Linked DNA regions of Caenorhabditis elegans. The protein of the gene in region 3 purifies or fractionates together with the protein of the main gene of each other region. This does not show direct contact. Each region holds a gene or a part of one and is shown on either strand. Other genes may lie near its edges.

Region 1 (5,683 bases), on a different chromosome or scaffold from region 3:
GGGGAAGTGAAATCCGATGTTGGAACGTCTTCAGATGAGAAGGCATCGGATTCCGAGGTTGAGAAGAGACAAAGGACTGATTCGGAAAGATCTGGAAAAGGTGAGAATATTAAATTGTTTCAAATAATTAGTTTTATTTACAGATAAAAAGAAGAAGCATAAGAAAGAGAAAAAACACAAAAAGGATAAGAAGCATAAGAAGGAGAAAAAACATAAACGCGAAAAAGAAGTTGAAATGGAAAATGATGGTCCTCCAGCAAAAAAGAGAACTTTAGAAGAAGTCGATACTAAAAAAGACGAATCTAAAAAGAAAGAAGCAAAAGAATCATCTCGAAACAATGAAGATGAACTCAGAAATCCTCCTAGAAGGGAACGCTCAAAAAGTGCTGAACGTAGGGATCGTGAATTGCGAGAAAGACGAGATGCTGAACGAAGAGATCGATCACTTAGTAAAGAACGAAGATTGATTCAGAGAAAAAGAGAAGATAACAGAAGAGATCCGCGTGCTCATGAAGGAAATCGTCGTAGAGATAGAACACCAGAAAGATTCAGAAACAACAGAGATCGTCGTGACAGAGATGGAAGAAGAGAGGATCGTCATAGAAGAAGTCCTGATAGAAGACGTGACTCGGATAGAAAAAGAGAGGATGGGAAGAGAAAAGATGAGTCAAAGGATGTTGAGTGGAATTTGGATTCTGATTCTGATGATGAACAGAAGAAAATTGAAGCGGCAAGAAAGCGACGAATTCAAATTATAAAGAAGATTGAAGGGCATACTGAAGAAAATGTGAGTTATTCTTCAATTTCTGAAAATTTTAGTTCTATTCACAATGTATCTCAATACCTCAATTTTGATTTTTGTTATATTTAAAAGCTTTATCGGACACCTTAATACCTTTATATGTTCGGATTGAATGCAAGAACCATATTCAAATCCAATCGAGCCCATTTTTGAACGTATCGATCAAAAATTAGTCTATCTTTCTAAAAGATAAATTGTTTACAGATATTTTATGTTTTTACAGACTCCGCGTGATAGCAGTACTCCAAGAAGTGATACAATCGGAGACAAAAAGACTGACGAATCAGAAGACAGTAGCTCCGATTCGGAAGATGATGAAGACGATCGCAAACTGGCTGAAGCAAAAGATCTGATAAAATCTGTAAGATAAATAGAAAAAAATCGGTTAGACAATAATTTTGAAAATTTCAGACCCGATTCGGAAGCGAGCAAGGGAGTGGAGCATCGACTCCAGTAAGTATTCAATCGGATAATGACACTCCAACTGATTTCTTCTCTGGTCTTCGAGATAAAATGGTTCACATGAAAGATGCAGATGAACATAATGTAGACGAAGTACTTCAAAGAGGAAAAGATGAAGAATACAGAGAAGACTGGCATACTCAATTGAAAGAGCAAGAAAAGCGGGAGGAAGAGGAGAAGAAAAAGAAATTGGAAGCAGAAGCCGCCGCCGAAGCAGCTAAAAAGAAAAAGCAAGAGGAAGATGATACGGGATTCGATATGTTCGCTGATAATGAGGAACTTCCACAAGACAGTACAACAATTGATGGGCATAGTGGAGCAGTACACGACACTTTGAAAGATAATTGGGATGATGTAGAAGGATACTATCGTGAGTTGTAATTTTGATTTTATATAGGAAGTTTGTCTACTTGTTATATCTTCCAAAGTAAATATTTAATTTTCTGATTTTCAGGCGTAAGAATTGGAGAGCTCCTAGACACACGTTATCGTGTTGTTGGTTTCACTGGTGCTGGTGTTTTTGGTAATGTATGCCGATGCAATGATCAGACAAAAGGAAACACTGTTGCTGTCAAGATTATCAGAAACAACGAAGTTATGTACAAAACAGGACTCCGTGAACTTGAAGTTCTTCGAAAATTGAATGAAGCTGACAAGGAGGATAAATATCATTGTCTTCGACTGTTCAGAACTTTCAAGCATCACAATCACTTGTGTCTAGTCTTTGAAAATTTGAGCATGAATCTACGAGAACTTTTGAAAAAATACGGACAGAAGGATGGATTACATTTAAAGGCAGTTCGAAGTTATGCTCAACAACTACTTCTGGCTCTGCGTCTTCTCAAAAAGTTGGAATTCGTTCATGCTGATATTAAACCTGATAATATTCTTGTAAATGAGTCGAAGCTAACATTAAAACTTTGTGATTTTGGTTCTGCTGGTCGCGTCAATGAACAAGAATTGGCCCCATACTTGGTCTCTAGATTTTATCGTGCACCAGAAATTAGTGAGTTTTAAATTAAAATTTTGTTCCCAGAAATAAAATACAATTTTCAGTGCTCGGAGTCCGTCATGACTATGCAATTGACCTCTGGTCCGTTGCAGTTACTCTCTATGAAGTTTACACTGGAAAAATCATGTTCCCAGGACGAACCAATAATCATATGTTGAAATTGTTCACTGATGTCAAAGGAAAATATCCCAACAAATTGGTTCGAAAATCGCAATTCAAAGATACTCACTTTGATGTAAACTGTAATCTTTTGTATCAAGAAGTTGACAAAGTTACAGAAAGAAACAAGGTTTGTATATTTGAAAACTCAAAGTATTTACATTTTTATGTTTTCAGATTACTGTTCTTGCAAATTTGAAACCGACACGCGATTTGGAATCAGAATTGATTGCCGGGCAACGTTTGAGCAGAGACCAAATGGATCAGGTTAGTGTACCTTATAGTGCAGCTGGTTAGACTATTGTCGACCACCCAAATGTCCCTGGTTCACCCCCGCTCTATGTTCCTCTCCACTTTGTTAATTTTCTGGAATGGAGATTTTATAAGAGCGAAAATAAAATGTCATTAGCGGTGCTCATCTTCGGTTAATTTTCTCGATATGGCTGATTGGATAATGACTACATTTTTATTTTCACAGATACAAGCGTTCCGAACTTTGCTCGATGGAATGCTGATTCTTGATCCAAGCAAACGAACAACCTGCAATGAGGCTCTCAAACACCCATTCTTCACCATACCTATCAAATAATACATTTCCCAAATTTTTTCGGTGATCTCTAATTTCTCTTCTCCTATTTCGATTGTATGTATGCTATATTTAAATACATATTCCTCGACAGCAAATTTTTTGTTATCTTTCGATTCATTATGGAAATTTTAAATGAAAATGATTGTAAATTCGCTACTTGTTTTGTATACATACTAAAAAATAAAACCAAGAGGCTAGACAAATTAGCAGTTGAGGTGTTGGATCTTCATGTCCTCTGCCTTCGTGGCGTGCGAGTTATAGAATCGGTTTCCACAATATCCGCAAGCATGAACTCCTGGTTTGTCCTGAAAAAATTAAAGTGTGACATTAAAAGTTAAAAAAAAACTAACAAGGTTGATGTATACTTTCGGATGTCCAAGAGCTGGATGTCCTCCATCACAGAAGACAACTCTCTTATCCCCGCAATCCTCTGGAGGGCGTTGATCAATAAGATGCATTGCTACATTTGGATTGACGCTTTTCTTCGAAATATCAAATCTTTGAAGACGATAATCAGATTGATCCCACGCCTGAAAATGTGCTTATTTTATTTGAAAAGTTATATAAGAAACACTTACTTGTCCGGTGTGAGTCACCTTGTCGAATTGTGCATTGTTTTTGGTAATTTGATTCGGAGTTGGTGGCTTTGTTGTAATTGTAGAAGAAGCTCGGACGGCAAGAGGTCCGCGTGAAACCGACTGTTGAAGAAGCCGGTTCATTACTAAACCAAACAGTGATTATGATTAATCGATACAACTTTGAATTCAATATAAAAGAGCAACGAAGAAATAATTGTAAAAACCGTAACAATTTCCTTCTTTATAAAACATGAACAAACATTGTTTTATACTTAAACTAGACAAATTGTTGTTAATCATCTGTTTTCAAACAAATTTGACGTCAATTAAAAAGATGTTTCTCAACGCCCGCAACTTGGCGTCAAATGAAATGCTTGCGTCAAAAACACGAATTACCATTGTGCACCGTAATGAATCTTCCACATCGTTTTCTGAGTGATTTGTGAACGAATAAATTAATTTGACCCGTCAAATTTTAAATAGGATACATGTTTATTCTAAGATTGTCTAAAATTGATTTGATTTTCAGCTAGGGAGGCATAAATTTAAAGTAAGAGTTAAGACAGGGGAGTACGCAAACACTGAACTTGACGACAGTTTCGTGCGATTGCACAATCTCACTTTTGTTGGAATTTTCGTCAGATTTTCCCAATTCTTTACTTTTTTATAATGTACAGATTAGTGTGTCTTTCAAAATGAATGAGTAAACATTTATTCATCTCTGTTTCGTTAAATGTAACTTTCTGTGCTCAGTTCTGCTACATTTTAAAATAACTTTTAGGAACTCCGTATACTGTTTCATAAATATCTTAATTTACAGTCGACATGTCCAAGCTTTACATCGATACCGATGCTGGATCTGATCAGCATCCCGGAACAGAAGCTCAGCCATTGGCTACTTTGGTTCAGGTTAGCACACAAAAATATAGTTGCTAAAAACAAACTTTTCAGGCTATGCTTATTTCGAAAAACTCGGGCGAGTTCTTGATGAAGAAAAAGTCAGAGGAAGGGGAATCGTGGGAACCAGCAGCGAAAGCTGCTATCAAAAAGGCAGTGAAAAAATACGAAGCTGAAGTGAAAAAGCTGGAGAAAGCTGGTTGTAGGGAGAAAGAAGCCGAAGAGGCTCAACATGCTGCTCTCGAAGAAGCCAAGAAGATTACATTTTCTCTTGACAAGTCTCTTCCAGAAGCTAAGGTTATCAAGATTGGAGAATCTGTGCAGCATCGCGATCAACGAGTCTCAATCAAAGCCTGGGTACATCGTCTTCGTCGTCAAGGAAAGTCACTCATGTTCCTTGTTCTTAGAGACGGTTATGGATTCCTTCAATGTGTTTTGAACGATAAGTTGGTATGAAATAGTTTCAAAGATCAACTATAATCGTTTCGTTTTCCAGTGTCAAAGTTATGATGCTGTTACTCTCTCAACAGAGACTTCTGTTCAAGTTTATGGAATTATCAAGGCACTTCCCGATGGAAAATCCGCTCCTGATGGTCACGAGCTTACCGTTGACTATTGGGAGGTTATTGGCAAAGCACCAGCTGGAGGAATTGACAACGTTCTCAACGAAAGCGCTGGAGTCGATGTGATGCTTGATAACCGCCACCTTGTCATCCGTGGAGAGAATGCATCAAGAATTCTTCGTATTCGCGCTGCAGCTACTCGTGCAATGAGAGATCATTTCTTTGCTGCTGGATATACTGAAGTTGCTCCTCCAACTTTGGTGCAAACACAAGTTGAGGGTGGTTCCACTCTCTTTGGGCTTGATTATTATGGAGAGCCTGCATACTTGACACAATCTTCTCAACTTTATTTGGAGACTTGCAATGCTGCTCTTGGTGATGTTTATTGTATTTCACAGTCGTACAGGTAGGTTTTTTGACATTTTTTTAGAACACTAGTATTCAAAAATAAATTTCAGAGCCGAAAAATCGAGAACTCGTCGCCATCTGTCAGAGTATCAACACGTTGAGGCTGAATGCGCTTTTATCACTTTCGATCAACTTATGGATCGCATTGAGGCTCTTGTTTGTGATACTGTTGATCGGCTTCTTGCAGATCCAGTCACCAAATCGTTGATCGAG
Region 2 (5,132 bases), on a different chromosome or scaffold from region 3:
AAAAAATCGTTATTTTTTTCACAAAAAATGGACAGAACTCACAAATTGGTTGAGAAAAGTTGAAAAAGGGACACTTTTTGGCATTAAATTGCATCATTTGTGGGGAAAATTGTATTTTTTCGTTGAGTGAGGCTAAGACTACAAACTACAAAAAATTGAGAGCCTCAACCAACGTTTTCAATGCTTTTTTGGTAGAAAATCGAGATTTTTTGAATTTTTAAATCATTTTTTCTTAAAAAATAGGCAGGAAATGTGAAAAATACACTATTTTCAGCACAAAACTGCATTATTTGTGAAGAAAATTTGATTTTTTCGTCGAGTGAGGCTATAGACTACAAACTATAAAAACTTGAGAGCCTCAACAAATTTTTTTTCACTAATTCACTCGGAACTTTCTTGAAAATTCGAAATTTTTGGCAATTTCTCACAAAAAAATCGGCGAAAATTGCAGAAAAACGAACAAAATTCGATGAAAATCGCAACATTTTGAGCAAAAACGTTCAACTTTTGTATTTTGTAGTCTCTTCGTGACTCAATGATGGTTGAAGCGATGGGACTACAAACTACAAATTCGGTTCAGCCTCAACCAACGTTTTCCGTGCTTTTTTGTTACAAAATCGACATTTTTTGATTTTTTTTCCTCAAAATATGGACAGAACTCACAAATTGGTTGAGAAAAGTTGAAAAATTGCCAATTTTTAGCACTAAATTGCATTATTTGTGGGGAAAATTGATTGATTTCATTGAGTGAGGCTATAGACTACAAACTACAAGTTTGTGTAGCCTCAACCAATTTTTTTGGTTTTTTTTATTCGAAATTCGAGTTTTTTAGTCATTTTTTCCGAATTTTCTCGCTAAAATCTAACCAAATTGATTGCAACGTCACATCGATAATTAACGAGGTCCTGAACGAGCTGTTTATAGTATAAAAGTGCGTAGGCGGCCCATAATCCTGATATAACCGAGTGGAATAGTGAGACACATTCGTTGGAGATTCGCCATTTCTTATTCGGTGGGATAGCCTGGAAAATGTGGAGTTTTTAGGTAAAAATTCGGAAAAATTTATATTTTCTGGCTGATTTGCTGATTTGGTTGAGGCTCAGACTACAAACTACAAGTTTGTGTAGCCTCAACCAAGTTTTGAGCACTTTTCAGGAGTTTTGGGAAAGAATTTCAACGTTTTTGTAAAGTTTTTATTGAAACTTGTAGTAGAAACTCTAGAAATAAGCGATTTTGATAGAAATTTCAACAATTTTCGGCGTTTTGAAGCAAAAGCTGATTGGTTGAGGCTAAGACTAAAAACTACAAATTTGTGTAGCCTCAACCAACTTTTTTTTTGATGAAAAACTGCTTAAAATGCTGTAAAATCGATATTTTTCAACAAAAAATGCTCAAATTTCGAAAAAAAAAACTGCTTTTTTAGCTCAAACTTCCTAGTTTTTGGATTTTTTTTGCAGTAAATTTCTGAATTCTCACCGACAGATCTCTGCTGTCGGGCTCGGGCTCCTGTTCGACCTGCTCGCCGGCTTCTGCCTCATTTTCAGGCGGATTTTCAGTATTTTCAGCTTCTTGACCGCCTCTCCGTCTCCTCCGAATGCGGTTTCGGATGTCGAAAAAGTTAAAGTTCGGCCACGTCCATTTGCCAAATAAGTACCAACGAACGATGAATTGCAGGGCTCGGAAGAAGGCAAATGAGACGATTACCTGGAGAAAATGGATTTTTGGGCCTAAATTCGCAGAAAATCGGGGGTTTTTGGCATTTTTTGAGTGAAAACTCACAAAAATAATCGAAGAAATCGTTGTTGATTTCATTGGAAAATTAGAAATAAATAATAATTAATTTTTCACGAAAAATTATTTAAAAAATTAATTTTTTTTTGAGTTTTATTTGAAATTATTTGAAATTTCGAATTTCTTACCCATAAAAACATTGTTGGCACTGGGCCAAGAAGATCCGTCAACAGCTCCGCCAGCTGCCGCATTTTCCAGAACTGTCTGAAAAAAAACTGATAAAAATTGGAAATATTACGGAAAAATAGGTAAAACAGTAGGTTTTTGGGTGAAAATACCCGGAAAATTCAAAAAAATTCGCTTAAAAAAGCTATAAAAACGATTTATTCAATGAATTTCTACAGGAAAAATTAAAAAATTAGAATTTTTTTTCGACTCTAAACTCTTCGCCAGGTTATTTCTGGGACGCCAATTGAGTAATAGTAGATTTGACCTGAAAATATCGATTTTCGGCATTAAATTCCACCAAAAATCCTACATTTTCTCTCGACAAATCCTCCAAAGTGGCGACTCGCTCAACTCCGTGCTCGTATCTGGCGAAAACTCTGCAAAAAACCGCAATTTCACCCAAAAATCGATAATTTCCCACCTTGGCACGATGCCAGACGCCTCACGAATCAGAATTGGGAACTGTGGATTGGCTTTTTTGATTCCAACATAGTCGTTTTCGATGAACGCGCGGACTCCCGCCGATGCTGGACTTTTCTGGCAGACGTGGATGCGAATCTCGCGAAGAGCGGTGCCGGCAAGACGGACAGACATCTGAAAATCGATATTTTAAGCTTTAAAATCAAAAAAAAACTTTAAAAAATGCAGAAAAATCCAATAAAACCAACAAAAACCGATTATTTTTTTCGAAATTTATTATAAAAATAAATAACCCGTGATCCCGCCCACTTTGGCAAGCGCGGCGCGCGGTATTTTGCAACTCCTACGCACAGTTTTGCTGTTTTCATGTTTTTTGAGCAAAGTCTTTGAAAATTGCTGATATTTTAGGAAATTTGCCTAAATTTTGCTAAATCTATCAAATTTTAGTGCTAAAACAAGTTTTTTCTCAATTTTTTGAGTTAAAAATCACGAAAAACCCATTAAAATCATCAAAAACCAATGACTCCGCCCCTTTTTGCAAGTGGCGCACGCAATTTTGCAACACCGCCGCACAGTTTTGCGGAAGACACTGCAAATCGAAGTGTCACGTCATCGCACATTTTTTCAGTTTTTCAACGTTATTTTCGATATTTTCAAACGAAAAACCACTTGATAAACTCAAAAAATCACTATTTTTACAGTAATTAATCGCTAAAAAATGGGCCGCGCGTCGTTTGAGTACGACGAAGTCGGCAACACATTTTACTATGTGCTCGTGGCATTCTACGCGATTATTCTGTTCCCGGCGACCTACCTATGCCTTCCAGGAGCCTCGAAACCAGGTAAAAATCGATTTTTTGGCTTAAAATTCATAATTTTTTCGTATTTTTTCGTATTTTTAGAACCAGAACACGTGATCAACGAACACGAGTGCCAATGCGACGGTTGTGACAAGAAAAGACGACAAAAAGCGGCGAATAAGCCGTGGCGACGGACTAAAAAGATTATTACCATCGTTGTAAGGCTTTAAAACTGAAAAATCCGGAAAAAATCCACTAAAAATCCCAAAAAATTGCAGGTTCTCGTTGTAGCGTGGGCAATTTTCGCGATAATTGTGAAAAAAACGACTGAAATCGAGCAAACTCACAAGGACTATGACCCGTATCAGATTTTGGGTCTGGATCAGGGCGCCGACGAGAAGGCCATCAAAAAGGCCTGGAGAGATATGTCAAAGGTGCTGGAAATTGGAATTTCGGCGATTTTTTACTGAGAAACCCCTATTTTCGACATTTTTCAGCTTGAAAATCGAAGAAAATCGAACTTTTTACTGTTTTTTACCTCGAAAAATGCAGTTTCCAAGTATTTTAGATGAAAAAATTGTTTTAATTTTTGGTTGAGGCTCGCGAATTTTGTAGTTTGTAGTGTTAGCCTCAACCAATTTTTGTGCGAAATCTCCGTAAAATATGGATTTTTTCGTGGAAAATGCCTCGAAAATCGAAATATTTTTGCAAAAACCTGATTTTCAAACACTTTCTCGCCAATAAATCTAATATTTAGGCTATTTTTACTGGAGAAACCCAATTTTTTCATAATTTATTGCAATTTTTACTCTAAAACTAAATTTTTTGCAATTTTCGGTCGGTTTTGCGTCAAGATCTATATTTTTGGTTTTTTTTTCCGCTGAAAACCAATTTTTTCGCTAAAATTGTTGAAAATTTATTTTTTCCCACAGAAAAGCCTCAAAATCTTGAAATTTCACTCCATTAGATATTTTCTCGAAAAAAAAGCTTATTTTCGACCTTTTTCGGCTTGAAAATCGATTTTTTTGACTTTTTTTGCCTCCAAAATTGCAGTTTCCAGGAATTTTAGGCTAAAAATTTGCATTAATTTTTGGTGAGGCTGGAGATTTTTGTAGTTTGTAGTGTGAGCCTCAACCAATAATCATGCATTTTTGGTTGAGGCTAATCACTTTTTGTAGTTTGTAGCGTGAACCTCAACCAATTTTTGTGCGAAATCTCTGTAAAATAGGGAATTTTTTTGTGGAAAATACCATAAAAATCATAATTTTTCGCCCAGAAAACTGAAAATTTGGCTATTTTTACTGGAAAAGCCCACTGTTTCCCAAATTTTATTGCATTTTTTCACCCAAAAACTAAATTTTCGGGCACTTTTATTGAATTTCCGACAGTTTTTCTCGAGAAAACATGAATTTTGTCCTGTTTTCGCCTTAAAATTTCTGAAATTTCAGTAATTTTTGGTGAGGCTGATAGTTTTTGTAGTTTGTAGTGTGAGCCTCAACAAATTTTTGTGCGAAATCGCCGTAAAATAAGGAATTTTTTGTGGAAAGTACCATAAAAATCATAATTTTTCGCCAAAAAACTGAAAATTTGGCTATTTTTACTGGAAAAGCCCACTGTTTCCCAAATTTTATTGCAATTTTCACCCAAAAACTGAATTTTCGGGCACTTTTATTGAATTTCAGACAGTTTTTCTCGGGAAAACATGATTTTTGCCCTGTTTTCGCCTTAAAATTTCTGAAATTTCAGTTTTTTCCCCACAAAAATGCTCAAAAATCTGGAATTTTTACCCAATTTTTTGCAGATTCACCATCCGGATCGTGGAGGAGACGCTCAATTCTTCGATAAAATCGCCAAGGCTCACCAGGCTCTCACCGATAAAGAAGCTCGCGAAAACTGGGAAAAATACGGAAATCCAGACGGCCCAACTGCCACAACTTTCGGAATTGCTCTGCC
Region 3 (5,207 bases):
GAGGCACCAACTAACACGCGTCTAATGGCTCGTGTGAGCACCTCGAAGCAGTGCGATGCTGATGCTCCACCAATTGAGCAACTTCTTCTTGATGCTGTCGGCAAAGATTTGGGTGTTACTCCGTGAGTTTTGTTCAATTTAGTTCAAAGTCTGATATGAAAGTGGTCAAAAGCCAGGCTAAATTAGCATATTTACACAGACGATATCTAGAATATTCCCACACATTTCGACCAGAAATTTAAGAATAAGAATGATCAATTTCAGAGCTTCAACAACCAGTCCAAACACTGCTGTTACACAGGCTATGACACCGACTGAGCAAACACCAGCGATGAAAACTGTGAAGCAAGATGAGCATGCCGAGGAGGAAGTTGACAATTTGAGATGGATTATTATCGCCCTGGTCTTGGTCATTGTCTTGCTTTTGCTTCAGAAATAGTGTAACTTTCGAATTGAATGAAATGTTTTTCACTAAATTTTTGGATTTTCTAATTTTGTTTGGACAGCAGATTTTTTTCATAAAAATTCCCAACCTGGTGATAACGTCCAATCTTACAATGCGAATGTCTTCTGATCAATCCGTCAGTTGGCATCACATCAGTACAGAGAAGCTTCAACAGTGTCGATTTTCCAGCTCCGTTAGGTCCGACCAAAGCGATTCTGGTATCCAAATCAATTCCAAAGTCAATATCCTTATAGATCCATGGAGTATTCTCGTTGTATCGGAATGAAACATGCTGAACCATGATAACTGGTGGTGGAATCTCCCCAGCATCAAAGAAGTAAAACTGTTTCACGGTTTCAGTGACAGCCTTTTCAGCGAGGCCTCCGGCAATCATCTTAGCCATAGTTTTTTCTTTGGATTGAGCTTGACGAGCGAGTTTGGCAGAACCGTGACCGAACCTCGCGACGTAATCTTTCATGTGTTGAAGTTGAGACTGTTCCCAGTTGTATCGTTTTTGTTGATTTTCGAGCAATTCAAGACGTGTCTTCACAAACTGGTCGTAGTTTCCTCCATAGTAAACCAATTGCTTTTGGAACAAATGAATGATGTTGGTGCAAACTCCGTTCATGAAATCTTGAGAGTGAGAAACCACCAACAAGGTTCTTTTATACTGAGCGAGTTCCTCCTCAAGCCACACACAAGCTTCCAAATCCAAATGATTGGTCGGTTCGTCGAGAAGTAAGACTGACGGTTTCAGGAAAAGTGCACGAGCGAGAGCAATGCGCATTCTCCATCCTCCAGAAAAATCTTTACATTTTTTCATTTGCATAGTTTTTGTGAATCCAAGTCCGTGCAAAATTTCGGCAGCCTTCTTTTCAGCGAGAGATGCATCCATTTCATCCAGCCTTTCGTAAACATCCATCAGCTTGTCCTGACTTTCCTCATCAGTCTGACTAGCAAGCTGCTCGGCAAGATGTTCCAACTCTTTTCTGACTGAATCGACATCAACGACCGCTTGAAGAGCAGTTTTCTCTGAAGCAGGCATTTCACGGGATACGAGGTACATATCCACGGACTCTGGGATTGGCATTTCCTTGTTGTAGATTGCCTGAATGATGGTAGACTTTCCAGATCCGTTCAATCCGATGAGTCCGTAACGACGTCCACGGTTGAGTTCGAGTTTCGTGTCAACGACAATTTCACGACCGTGGAATGTAATCTGAATGAAAACAAAGTTACTTGTTGGAGTCGCCAATTAAAAACCACTTACCGTCAGGCTTTCTACTCTGTGATCAAGACCCTTTGGATCGGAAGTCAATGATCCGGCGACTGAACGAGCAGCAGCGTTTTCCAATTCGATTTTGGCCAAGGTGGCGGCGGCCTGATCGAGCTCCTCGTCTAAACAGCAGAGACTGTTGACGGACGGATGTTGAGATGACATGGCGGTTGGTGTTTCTACCTGGAAATGAGATGATTATTATTTGTTAAACAAAAAAAAACTAAAAATCAATTGCTCACCTTCTTTTTTCCTTTTCCTCCTTTGGCGGCAGCCTTCTTAGCGGCCTCGCGTGCTTTCTTCGCATCAGACGGCATTGTTGTCCAGCAGTGATGCGGATGGGGTACCCTAAATTTTTATTTATTTATCTCTCAAATACACGGAAAAAGCGACGGATAAAAAATACGAGAGCGAAAATTCACATAAACTAGACGAGAAATCCTCAAAAAAAGCAGGAAAAGAAATATTATTTCAACGAAGCGAAGGCCTTTGGCATGGCACAGTGATCCAAATGGTGAACGTAGTCAGCCATCTCCTGATGGCAGGTCTCCTCAGTGTTAGAACGAGAGTTGACACGATCGTTGCACTCGTCGAGAATACTCTTGAATTCGGTGACATGGTCGGCACATCGCTCACGGTATTGAGTAAGTTGATCGACGTCAGCCTCGAGTGGCTCTTCCTTGTGGCTCGACATACTGATACCCGAAAAAAATTCCATGATAGTGACAAGTCATTGGCTCGATGAGAAGAGAAATATGAAGAAAACTACTTTAAAGCGATTCGAAAAACCGGTCATACCAAACTCCCGTAGGCATAAATTAGCCACAATGCGATATCGATTTTTTTCGGAACATTGAGGTTACGAATAACCAGTTATCTACAGTGTAAATAAACAAAAAACACTTCAAGTACTGCTTATCACTAATACACTATTGTGTTTGCTTTGACATGGCTCATAATTTTCATAAAAACTGAAACTTTCGCAATTAAGTTACTTTCTTGGAGTTATGACCTATTTTTCGAAAATAAATCACGTTTTTTTAATAAAACAAAACGTGAAAAATTCAGGAATGAAGGAACGAACACGTTTAGAAAAGAAAAATACGAAAAATCGATAACAAAACTGATATTTAGGCTCAAAATATGCAAAAAATCCCAAAACTGGGCGGTCAGAGAAAACTAGTGTTTGAATCGCCGCGCCTGACGCACCGTACTTGCGAGCGTGGCGAGACCTGCAAAGTGCCTCACGGGCTGTGCGCGCACCCCGTTTCGACGGGCGGCCGTCTTCCCACTATTGCTTCTGGCAAGCACCGACCACCGAGGTCCTTCAATCTTGAATCATGTCCAAAGAAAAGTCCTTCGACACCAAAAAGTTCTTGATCGATCTCGCCTCAGGAGGTAAGCTTTTTCAGTTTTTATTGCAAAAATTTGGAGGATTTCTATAATTATTAATTTTGGGTTTTCATTCGTCAAATTTGTGATTTAATTAATTTTGTTTTCTTTTAGGTACCGCTGCTGCCGTCTCCAAGACCGCTGTTGCCCCAATTGAGCGTGTCAAGCTTCTCCTCCAGGTGTGTGATGAAACTTTTTTCCACTATAAATATGAAAAATTTTAGGTCCAAGATGCTTCCAAGGCTATCGCCGTTGACAAGCGTTACAAGGGAATCATGGATGTTCTCATCCGTGTCCCAAAGGAGCAAGGAGTTGCTGCCCTCTGGAGAGGAAACCTCGCTAACGTCATCCGGTACTTCCCAACTCAGGCCATGAACTTCGCCTTCAAGGACACATACAAGGCAATCTTCCTTGAGGGACTCGACAAAAAGAAGGACTTCTGGAAGTAAGTTAAACATTGCATTATTGTTTTTAGAAAATTTCACATTTGAAATTCAGGTTCTTCGCAGGAAACTTGGCTTCCGGAGGAGCTGCTGGAGCCACCTCCCTCTGCTTCGTCTACCCACTCGACTTTGCCCGTACCCGTCTTGCTGCTGATATTGGAAAGGCCAACGACCGTGAATTCAAGGGACTTGCTGACTGCCTTATCAAGATCGTGAAATCCGATGGACCAATCGGACTCTACAGAGGATTCTTCGTCTCCGTGCAAGGAATTATCATCTACCGTGCCGCATACTTCGGAATGTTCGATACCGCCAAGATGGTCTTCGCTTCTGATGGACAGAAACTCAACTTCTTCGCCGCTTGGGGAATTGCTCAAGTTGTCACAGTCGGATCTGGAATCCTTTCCTACCCATGGGACACTGTTCGTCGTCGTATGATGATGCAGTCTGGACGCAAGGATATCCTCTACAAAAACACCCTCGATTGCGCAAAGAAGATCATCCAAAACGAAGGAATGTCCGCTATGTTCAAGGGAGCCCTCTCCAACGTCTTCCGTGGAACCGGAGGAGCCCTCGTCTTGGCCATCTACGACGAAATCCAGAAGTTCCTTTAAATTTGATAACACTTTGATAATTTTTACCTTGTCATTGTCCAACAAAATCTCGTTATGTAGCTTGTTTTAGCAAAGTAGTTCACCTAGCTACTATGTTAAGTTTTCAAAAATAAAGCGAGCCACATAAAAAGTTTTAAATCCTCTATTAAAGTTTTCCCCTTTTCAAATTCTCATTCTTTCCCTCAACACCCCGATTGAACATTCGTTAGGATAGCCCCTTTATCTGGACTCGGTTTGACAATCTCGGTTATTGCACCTGTGTTTGCCGTTGATCTTTAAAATTACTCGAACAACAATAAAACGTTGTTGATTTTCCCTTCGTTCAATTATGTGCCACAGAAAGATTTCAAACCGTAGCCGTTTATTAACGATGAGATTTTGTTTCGCAAGCAATGAGGTTCATTTGGGGTCAGTGGGGGAAGTGAATGCCAGGGAAAGCGAGAAAACAATGTGAGTAGGAAAGTGCAATAGTGAATAGTTAGACGTCAGAAGTGTCTGCGAAGTACGCATGGCGTAGAGCTGCATCGGCATCGATTCTTCCTGCTGGATTGCAAACAAGAAGTTTCTGCAAATACTTCGAGTTTGAGTAAGTATAATTTTTATTGGAAAAAAGTTACCTGTAAAAGATCACGGCCACGTGAATTCAAATTAGGTACGATTTGGCTCCATGTAAGCGTTGGATGGTAGATTGGGTAGGGCTGAAAAATGGTATGTTATACTTGTGTGTTCCTATAATGCAATGGAATTCAATTAATTATTGTCAATCTTAAATCTAGAACAGTTGTCTCTGCTTCTCTAAATCTACTCAATACTCTGTTCTCTGTCCTGTCCCAGCCGCCCGTGATTGTATGAATTACGTCACCCGAACAAACAGCTGAGCTCAAAGTACTCAATATCATTTCTTCTTTCTATCTTTTTCTTTTTTAGTTTTTCACCAATTGACACGGGCGGATAGTAGTCGGGAGGACAGGACAGCGGCAAAATCGTGGCAGGTAAAATGGAAAAGATAAGAAGACGGAATTAGAGAACTAAGAGAA
Region 4 (7,684 bases), on a different chromosome or scaffold from region 3:
GAAACTGTGCATTATGAGCTCATACTAATCCAGAACGAAACTCTTCTCGATGTATTAAAAATGTTCATGTCATACTGGCCAGCCCATCTCTGATCACTACTACTTCAGCCTTCCCGAGAACATCTCTATTAAAAAGCAATCCTTTGCAGACCGAACTGAAATTCCTTTAGACCCATGGGCTGTCTGTCAGGAACATCTTTAATAATAGAATCACCATTGTATATCCTTCGCCCAACAATAATGCATAAAATCCCTGCAGTTGTAACCTTATTCCAAATGTGCTATTAACAAATTTCTAGTAACAATTCGTTTATGTTTTATGTAACAAAAACAAGAAAACAACCACAAAAGGCATTTACTTGGCCTTCTTGGCACGAATCTTGCGAAGGTAGAAATCAAGTTCCTTTCCTTCGAGGATGTATCCGTTGGCTTGTCCGACTTGTCCTGGGGAAGAAGAGATGCGAGCTGAAAAATAATGATTAAACTTGAAGAAATTTCTGAATTTTCTTACCGAGAAGACGTCCAGTGTTGAATTGCTCGATGAGGAGTGCATCAACAGCAGCAGTCTTTTGACGCTCGGTGTACTTTTTCATGGTGTGGTGGGATCTCTTCTTGTTGAGGATGGCGTTGTCTTCCTCGGAAAGCTTGGCGTTCTTCTTTCTGGCAAGTGGGAGAGCATAGTGAGCCTCATACCACTGACGGAATGGAGCAGCATCAACGCTGATGATGGCTCCTTTGACAAGAGTCTTGGTACGGACCAACTCGTTGTTTGTAGCGTTGTACATGGTATCAACGATACGGGTCTTGCGAGTAGTCTCTGAAAAATCAGAATATGAACGGTTTATAAAGTATAATAACGAAACTTACGCTCAGAGGCCCAGGAGAAGTTTCCGGAGTCGAGGCGAAGAGCTCTGTACTTTTCGTTTCCTCCACGAGTGCGAACGAGACGAACGCGGTGGGCTCCAATCTGAGAGTAATTTCGCGATCATCTTTTTTAAATTTAATTTTACTGATTCAACCAAATCCCTGGTAAATAAAATAAAAATTAAACAGCTCTTACCTTGGTGTTGGCAGCTGGACGTCCGAGCTCGAACTTCCTCTTCTTGTGAGGGACCGGTTGAGTGGCTCCGGTCTTGTAGCGCTTATGCCAAGAGTCGCGCGAGATACCCATGCTGAAAACGTTTCACATTTAACAAAAATGAATTAAAAATACATAATACGATAAATGAAAGAGTTTCCTTCTCGAAACAAAAATATTCGAACATTAAATTTTTCAAAACACAATAAAGTGATTAAAACATTGATTTTCTTCTATTTTTCAGTGATTTTTTCGAGAAAATTTAACAAAAAGCAGAAACATTGAAGAAAAAATAGAAAAAGAAAATCGGGCCTAAAAATTCACAGTGGTAAACAGAGAGCGGCGGCTGCTGCAGATGAGAGATCGCGGCGAGACCCTTCACTCGTGAAATGCCATGTCCCTTTAAAAAAGTGTTTTATTTCACATGATTTTCGTGCTCTTTTTGTTACATTAAAGATTTATAGAAATTCGACAAAAATTATCTGCATTTTTTGTTGAAATTATCAAATTACTTAGTCAATATTTCGCTGTAAAAAAATAAAATTCCAATCATATCTGTTTTTGTGTAGAATTCTTCAATTGATTTGAAAAAAAAACAAAAAAACTTTATAAATAAATGTTTATGATGCAATAAATTTGTCTAGCTAAAATTGCTAGCCGACTCAACTGTCTGACATAACTTTTAACGAAAGTAACTGCGGGGAAAACATTACGACAACAGTATCACAAAAATATGTAAAAAAGAGCTCTCGGACAAATAAAATCGATAAAACAAAAGGAAAATAATTGTACAAAAGCGAATAGTACACGAAGGTCTAAAGAAAACTCTCGAAAAAGCAGGAAAATGAGCCTCTAAAGCGGAATTTTCAGGTTGGTCAGTGAAATCATAAGAAATTAACGAAATCATTATTTTTCAGGTCGAAGCTTCAGAAAGACGATGACTGGAGCTGTGCAAGGAACTTTGGAAGCTGTTGAAGAGAAATGCAGGAGTCTTCAAATGTGGAGGCTGATGCGACGATCTGAAATTTTAAAATTTTACCGTTGTTCTATTAGTTGGTTTTTTTTTAGTTGGTGGGCTTACTTGGGCTCCAAGATATGCTGCGTTATACCGCCATGGACTGATGTTAACTTGAGTGTGAATTGTGTTTGGAACTACTGTAGATAATTCTTGTTCGAGTTTTTCAGCAATTCCTGGCATAAGAGATGCTCCTCCAGCCAAATAAATATTTCTGAAAGCATAATTTTGGTCATAAATTTTAGAAAACTAACGATTCTTACCTATACAGTGTTCGACGACTATCAATTGGACACTGAAGAATTGCCTCGTGGATCAATTGGTGGAGACCTTTCGTGTCAAGACCCCATTTCTTTGGCTTGAATAGTCCTTCCGTACATAAAAATCTGGAGTTATCAATATCGAATCGGGTCTGCATTCCAGGTGATGGTGTGAAAGCATCTAATGAGATTCTAGTTTCTTTATTTTCTGATTTTTCTTCTTTTTGATAATCCTCTGGTACGTAGGTAGTCTAAACTTCAAGTATTTTTTTGAAAATTAATACGATTAAATTTTACCTGTTCCAGTGCAAATCTTAAAATAAGCTTCTCCACAGGACTTTGAAAAGCGTATAATCCTTTGTTATGAGCACTTAATGATGCTCTTAACGAATCTCCCATTTGCTGTGATCCATATGGAATTGAACAAATGGCCGATTCGACGACATATCCATCAATTACTGGAACAATATTAACTCTTTCTCCAATATCGACAACAACTCCAGTTGTAACATCATAAGCATACAGAATCAGTGATGGCTGACGAGTGATTCCTGCCGACTGAAAGTTTATTTTTTAGACAAAAAAGTTTTCTCAGCGATAACTCACTTGAAATTTGATATCTTCAAGACAAATCTGGAGTAATTCTCCAATCAAAACAGTTGGGATATTTTGAGGGATTGAAAGTAAAACTTTATATTTCCATGGCTCAACTTTCAATTCCTTTGTTACTTTTCCAATAACTGCTTTCAGAACATCTTTATCAATTGAATATCTTTCCACTGATGGATCTGTAGCAGAGATTGGTCGAACAAAATCACCATTATGTCTAATTTCCGGCCTATAAGCGTCTTCTCCAACGAAAATCTTTCCATCATCAGTTCGGACGGCTATGGCTGGGAAGAATGATTGTGGAAGTGATGGTTCTGTTGTAAGAACACCGGCTCTGATTGAGCATGAACCAAGTTCAAGAATCAAAATTCTTTCAGTTAAATGTTGGAATGCTCTTGGAATTGGTTTAACATAGGCATCAATTAGAGAAGATGCACAGTGTGATAGGAATGATTGACGCCATTTGTCGAATACTGCTGATGGAACTCTGAAATTTTAATAAATTATTGGAAAAATTAAAAACAATTAGGTTTTTATAAAATGTGAAACTTTTAAGCATAAATTTACCAACCTGCAATAGTATTTAACATGTTCCCTTCCTCCATGAATAGTCAAAGTTCTCTCATCCTTATTGGCATCTACATCTGCTCCAGAGAGCACAAGTTCTTGAGCTGGAGCTTCTCCTGCGTAGTGAGATGCAAAGATTTGAAGACGTCCTTCTTTCATTCGAATGTACTGCTTCATCCATCCTTCATTATCTAGACCGTCTGATTTTGTGACCTCGTCGGCTGGGACCTGGAATGAAATAGCTCAAAATATAGTTTTTTCCAATTTCTCAATCAGTTGAGATTATAATTAAAATTGTTATTTTTTATTATGAATAGAAACTATTTTATATTTTTTGAATAGCTTTTGGACGTAGGAGTTTTGGTTTCTGGAATGTGATCACTGTTTTTGTTTTTTCTAGGCCTGAAAATTTCCAAGCAAAAACTCCGCCCACTACGTTCCCCAACGTGGTGAGCGAAACCCGCCAGATGTCCGTACACGGAGTTCATCACGTTCCAATTTAGAGGTGCACAATCAACTCTGGTTCCTCTGCATTTAACCGTGAAAATCTTTCGCCTTTTACTAAAGATTTCCGTGCAAAGGAGCATTTACTGAGTATTACATACAATTTTTGGAGACTCCTTGAGAAAGCGGGTCAAAATAAACTACAGCAAAGGTAATTTCTTTATTTACGAATGCTTACCTCTACATGTCCTTCCATTGTCACAAATCGATTTCTTTTTGTTTCAACTCGTGGTTCATATGATATTTCGTAGAGGGCTTTTAGTAAATGCTTAGGATCCCATTCTCGCAGAGCATTTGCTTCTTCAGCTTTCAAACTGTCTGATCTTCCAACACCATTTTCCATTTCAACTCCGTTGATTTCCAAATCTGGCATTGAAATATGCTGGAAAAAACGAGAAGTTGGTAGAAAAAATAATATTTCAACTTGAAGCTACATACAATCAAAGCAAATAGAAAAAATAGCATGCATAGGGAAAATTCAATAAAACATGTTTGCCTGGCTATAAAACATTGGAAAATGGAGAGGGCGGGAAAAGGAGAAAATACGAAAAATCGGAAAGAAAGTATCAGTTTTCGAAATCCGAATAAAAAACCACTGAATCGTACTAGTAAAAAAGGGCGTTCTTTTGAAATAAGAAGTTGAGAAATTTAGGGAGAGAGAGCAGAGTTTCCGGTTGCATTTTTTGTTGAAACTTGTCGTCGTTGGTTTTTTGTGTTGGTTTGGTATGTTTGGAGACAACAACGGAACGCAATTTGAGGAGAGGGTGAAAATGGAAATTTGAACGGGAAGTCACATGGATTTTTGAAGAAAATTTGGAGAAACAAAATAACCCTTGGAGCGAAAGTTTTCAGCTACCGTACCTGTGAGGATTTTTCGAAAAATTTTAAAATAGGTGTTTGACAATTTTGTAGTAAGTTGTGGTGAAAATTTTCAAAATCACGACAGTATAATCATAAACTTTTCTATTTGGACGAATACTAATTTTGTAATACTTACGGGTACTGTAGTTGAAAAGTTTGGCTTCCACCAAGACCCGAGGCTGGGGTTCAAAGTTAACTTTGAAGAGAAGTTTTCAATAAAAAGTTACCACTTAAAATAAATATTTTATCAGAAAAATTACGTTAAATTTTGAAACTTTTAAATAAGAAAGTATAATAAAATAAGACAATAACATTTGACTTCAAATTTAATAAAAAAATAATTAAACAAAAACAAGTAGCAATATTCTGCCCTAACTCCTAAAAAAGACCCAAAAAGGGAAAATAATGATTTCTTTTTCGCCTTCTTCCGTCTTTGTTCCGTAATAAGATTATGTGCAAATAGGGGAGCAACGAGTAAACAATTTCTTTCTTTTTTTTTGGAGCATTTTTTTTGGTAAAGACCCAATAAGAGGAAATGGGCTACTATCTGTCTAAGATCTAGGAAAATATTTCAATAGAAAGCCAAATTCCCATTCATAAATTCCAATATTCACCTATGAATATCGTGTGAATCTACGGAAATCCGATGCGTGTCTTTTCGGAAACAGATATCTATGAAATATAGAGAGAAAGAGAAACCGATTGGAGATCAGACCCAGAAATTTCAATAAGAGATGAATGTGATTGAAGAGACGTAGAGAGGAAGAGAAAAATAATAGTTTGGAGAGGTTCAATGTGACGGCCTAATTGCCATGTGGAAACGATTTCTCGAGAAAGTGACAGAACAAATGGGAAGGAAAACCAGAGAATAAGAAAAAACAAAAATTTTTTGTGTTTCCTCTTGTTTTCTTTAAGCTTGTCGTTTGTCTTTGGATTTCAGAGGTTCAAAGAATTCTAGACGTGTTTTCTAAAGAGTCTCTCAAAGTTTTCAGAATAATGGAGAAATTGAGATTTAGTAGGTGAAATGATACAGTTTAATTGGCAAATGTAATTTGTAATTTGTAAATTAGAAGCAATTGCTTGCCTATACTATTTTAATTCTATAATAGCTAGTGAAAGGCTCATCAATCAAATAAAGTGAGATAGGTTTTGAAATGGAACCTTTGAAGAATCTGACAGGCATACAAATATTGAGTTTAAAAAAAACATAAGCTTTGTTATTTGGTTCTTCGATTTTCTGCTTAATTTACCGAAAATATCTATCATAATAGCAACGCAATCCAAATTATGAAACGTTCTTGACAGAACTTTGGCAACTTATTGAGCATATATTAAGTGAAATTAACTTTATGAATATCTAAACCCCTCCACTAAAATTATTTGCATTCTAAATCACGCTCTTTTCCCCTAAATGCCCTTTATTGGCAGACCTCCTTCACACCCGAACTTTTCGTTTTTTTTGTCATTATTCTCGTGCAAATCCCTCAAGACCAAGAGAGGGGCGCCGCCTAGCCCATAAATCAGTCACCAAATAAATCTTTTCCTCCATTTTTTTGTCTGCAAAAAAAGTTCTGGCATTCTTTTTTGTTTGTTTATCTTCCACTCACTTTCCTTGACTCCTTCAGCCTTTTTTCCAGTTTCAAAGCTTCATCATTTATAGATGAAATCAGAAAAGAAAACGAGGGAATGTTTTTTTTTCTTCTGCGGAAGAGTTTTTTATTCCTTTGGGAATTTGGAAATCAACGAACAAAAATGACAGCAAAGAAAAACACAAAAATATTTACCATTTATAGGAGAATGGGACCCTTGAAATTTCTGGTGGAGCACGAAATGAAAAATGCGAAAGAGCGGAAAGAATGAAATAGAATGTCGTTTTTTGTGGCAAAAGAATTTTTTGTTGCAATTTTTGTTAGGTTGAATGAGTTTTTGGAAGAGGAATAACGTTCAGAGAACTTGACCTCTCAAGAAAAATTATTTAAATAAGTGGAAGTTCAAATGAACAAAAAAAGTCACTTGGCAAATTTCTATGACACTTGGTTTCTATAAAAATATCAAGGTTATATCCGAGTTAAACTGGGATATTTATGCAAAAACCCATTTCGTCGAGTAGGATAAAGCCTTTAATCAAATATCAGAACTCAAAGGTTTATCCGGTTGCTGGTGGGAATAAGGCGGATTATATTGGGGAACTTGCTCGAGTAAGAGCTTATTTCTGTGAGAAATAATATGATATATGGAATGCAAAATGGATTTTGCTTAATTGAAATAGAGGATGTAAACGATAGAGTCTAAATCCAAGGTCTATCTAGAAGTTAAAGGGCCACTTAGGTAATTTTTTAAGGAAAAAGACAATAAGATGAAGCTCGAAAGGATAATGCCCTTTTCGTAATGAGAGAAAGAGAGAATGCACTCAATTCATCAAGCCTCCCTCACAGAGGAACTAAGAGAGAATGAAGCGACCCAAAAATGAGAGATAGACAACAAATGAAGAAACGCAGGAAGTTAGAGGAACAGAGAAGCCCCCCGCATCCTCTCATTTTCAGGCAGACCGACGGAGAGAAAGAGGCGCGCGCGCACGCGTATGTTTCTGTTTCTGTTCTGCGGCTGTTCCTCGTTGTGGAGAGACGTGTGACAAAAAAGTTAAGAAGCACTGGGTAAATATAGAGAGATTTTGAGAAATTGAGAACAAAAAGATACGAGAAAGAGAGCGCGCCAGCGACCGGGTAGGAGGCGGCCGTTGTTGACGGGGCCCCCGGAAGAGTTAGAGGTGAGAAAATAGTGGATGGGATG

What was found.
Region 1: the proteins of T27E9.2 (region 3) and nduf-6 fractionate together in Caenorhabditis elegans (co-fractionation; one large-scale study listed by BioGRID). This does not show direct contact.
Region 2: the proteins of T27E9.2 (region 3) and ndua-2 fractionate together in Caenorhabditis elegans (co-fractionation; one large-scale study listed by BioGRID). This does not show direct contact.
Region 4: the proteins of T27E9.2 (region 3) and F42C5.9 fractionate together in Caenorhabditis elegans (co-fractionation; one large-scale study listed by BioGRID). This does not show direct contact.

What each region holds. Positions count from the first base shown.
Region 1 is NC_003279.8:7,088,802-7,094,484, reverse strand, and holds nduf-6 (putative NADH dehydrogenase [ubiquinone] iron-sulfur protein 6, mitochondrial), read right to left. Parts: upstream 3,746-5,683; 5' UTR 3,744-3,745; coding exon 3,603-3,743; intron 3,555-3,602; coding exon 3,375-3,554; intron 3,330-3,374; coding exon 3,228-3,329; 3' UTR 3,124-3,227; downstream 1-3,123. Other genes in the region: prpf-4 (Serine/threonine-protein kinase PRP4 homolog), read left to right, coding at 1-100, 144-787, 1,026-1,163, 1,214-1,634, 1,719-2,270, 2,321-2,565, 2,613-2,702, 2,914-3,024; nars-1 (Asparagine--tRNA ligase, cytoplasmic), read left to right, coding at 4,428-4,511, 4,554-4,949, 4,996-5,468, 5,521-5,683. UniProt on the Caenorhabditis elegans protein: Accessory subunit of the mitochondrial membrane respiratory chain NADH dehydrogenase (Complex I), that is believed not to be involved in catalysis. Complex I functions in the transfer of electrons from NADH to the respiratory chain.
Region 2 is NC_003279.8:14,111,057-14,116,188, reverse strand, and holds ndua-2 (NADH dehydrogenase [ubiquinone] 1 alpha subcomplex subunit 2), read right to left. Parts: upstream 2,554-5,132; coding exon 2,381-2,553; intron 2,337-2,380; coding exon 2,270-2,336; intron 2,225-2,269; coding exon 2,186-2,224; 3' UTR 2,104-2,185; downstream 1-2,103. Other genes in the region: TLC domain-containing protein fld-1, read right to left, coding at 867-1,022, 1,477-1,704, 1,920-1,982; dnj-29 (J domain-containing protein), read left to right, coding at 3,098-3,221, 3,282-3,397, 3,458-3,613, 4,981-5,132.
Region 3 is NC_003281.10:13,460,170-13,465,376, forward strand, and holds T27E9.2 (Cytochrome b-c1 complex subunit 6), read right to left. Parts: upstream 2,416-5,207; coding exon 2,188-2,415; downstream 1-2,187. Other genes in the region: abcf-2 (ABC transporter domain-containing protein), read right to left, coding at 534-1,664, 1,716-1,904, 1,964-2,038; tag-164 (Major sperm protein), read left to right, coding at 1-122, 265-439; ant-1.1 (ADP/ATP translocase), read left to right, coding at 3,062-3,119, 3,228-3,292, 3,338-3,558, 3,612-4,170; cdk-5 (Cyclin-dependent-like kinase 5), read right to left, coding at 4,649-4,735, 4,788-4,868.
Region 4 is NC_003282.8:7,312,689-7,320,372, forward strand, and holds F42C5.9 (PH domain-containing protein), read right to left. Parts: upstream 4,416-7,684; 5' UTR 4,407-4,415; coding exon 4,212-4,406; intron 4,166-4,211; exon of another isoform or gene 4,044-4,165; intron 3,758-4,043; coding exon 3,534-3,757; intron 3,450-3,533; coding exon 2,960-3,449; intron 2,912-2,959; coding exon 2,651-2,911; intron 2,605-2,650; coding exon 2,357-2,604; intron 2,308-2,356; coding exon 2,160-2,307; intron 2,098-2,159; coding exon 2,005-2,097; 3' UTR 1,683-2,004; downstream 1-1,682. Other genes in the region: rps-8 (Small ribosomal subunit protein eS8), read right to left, coding at 356-465, 512-817, 868-967, 1,061-1,171.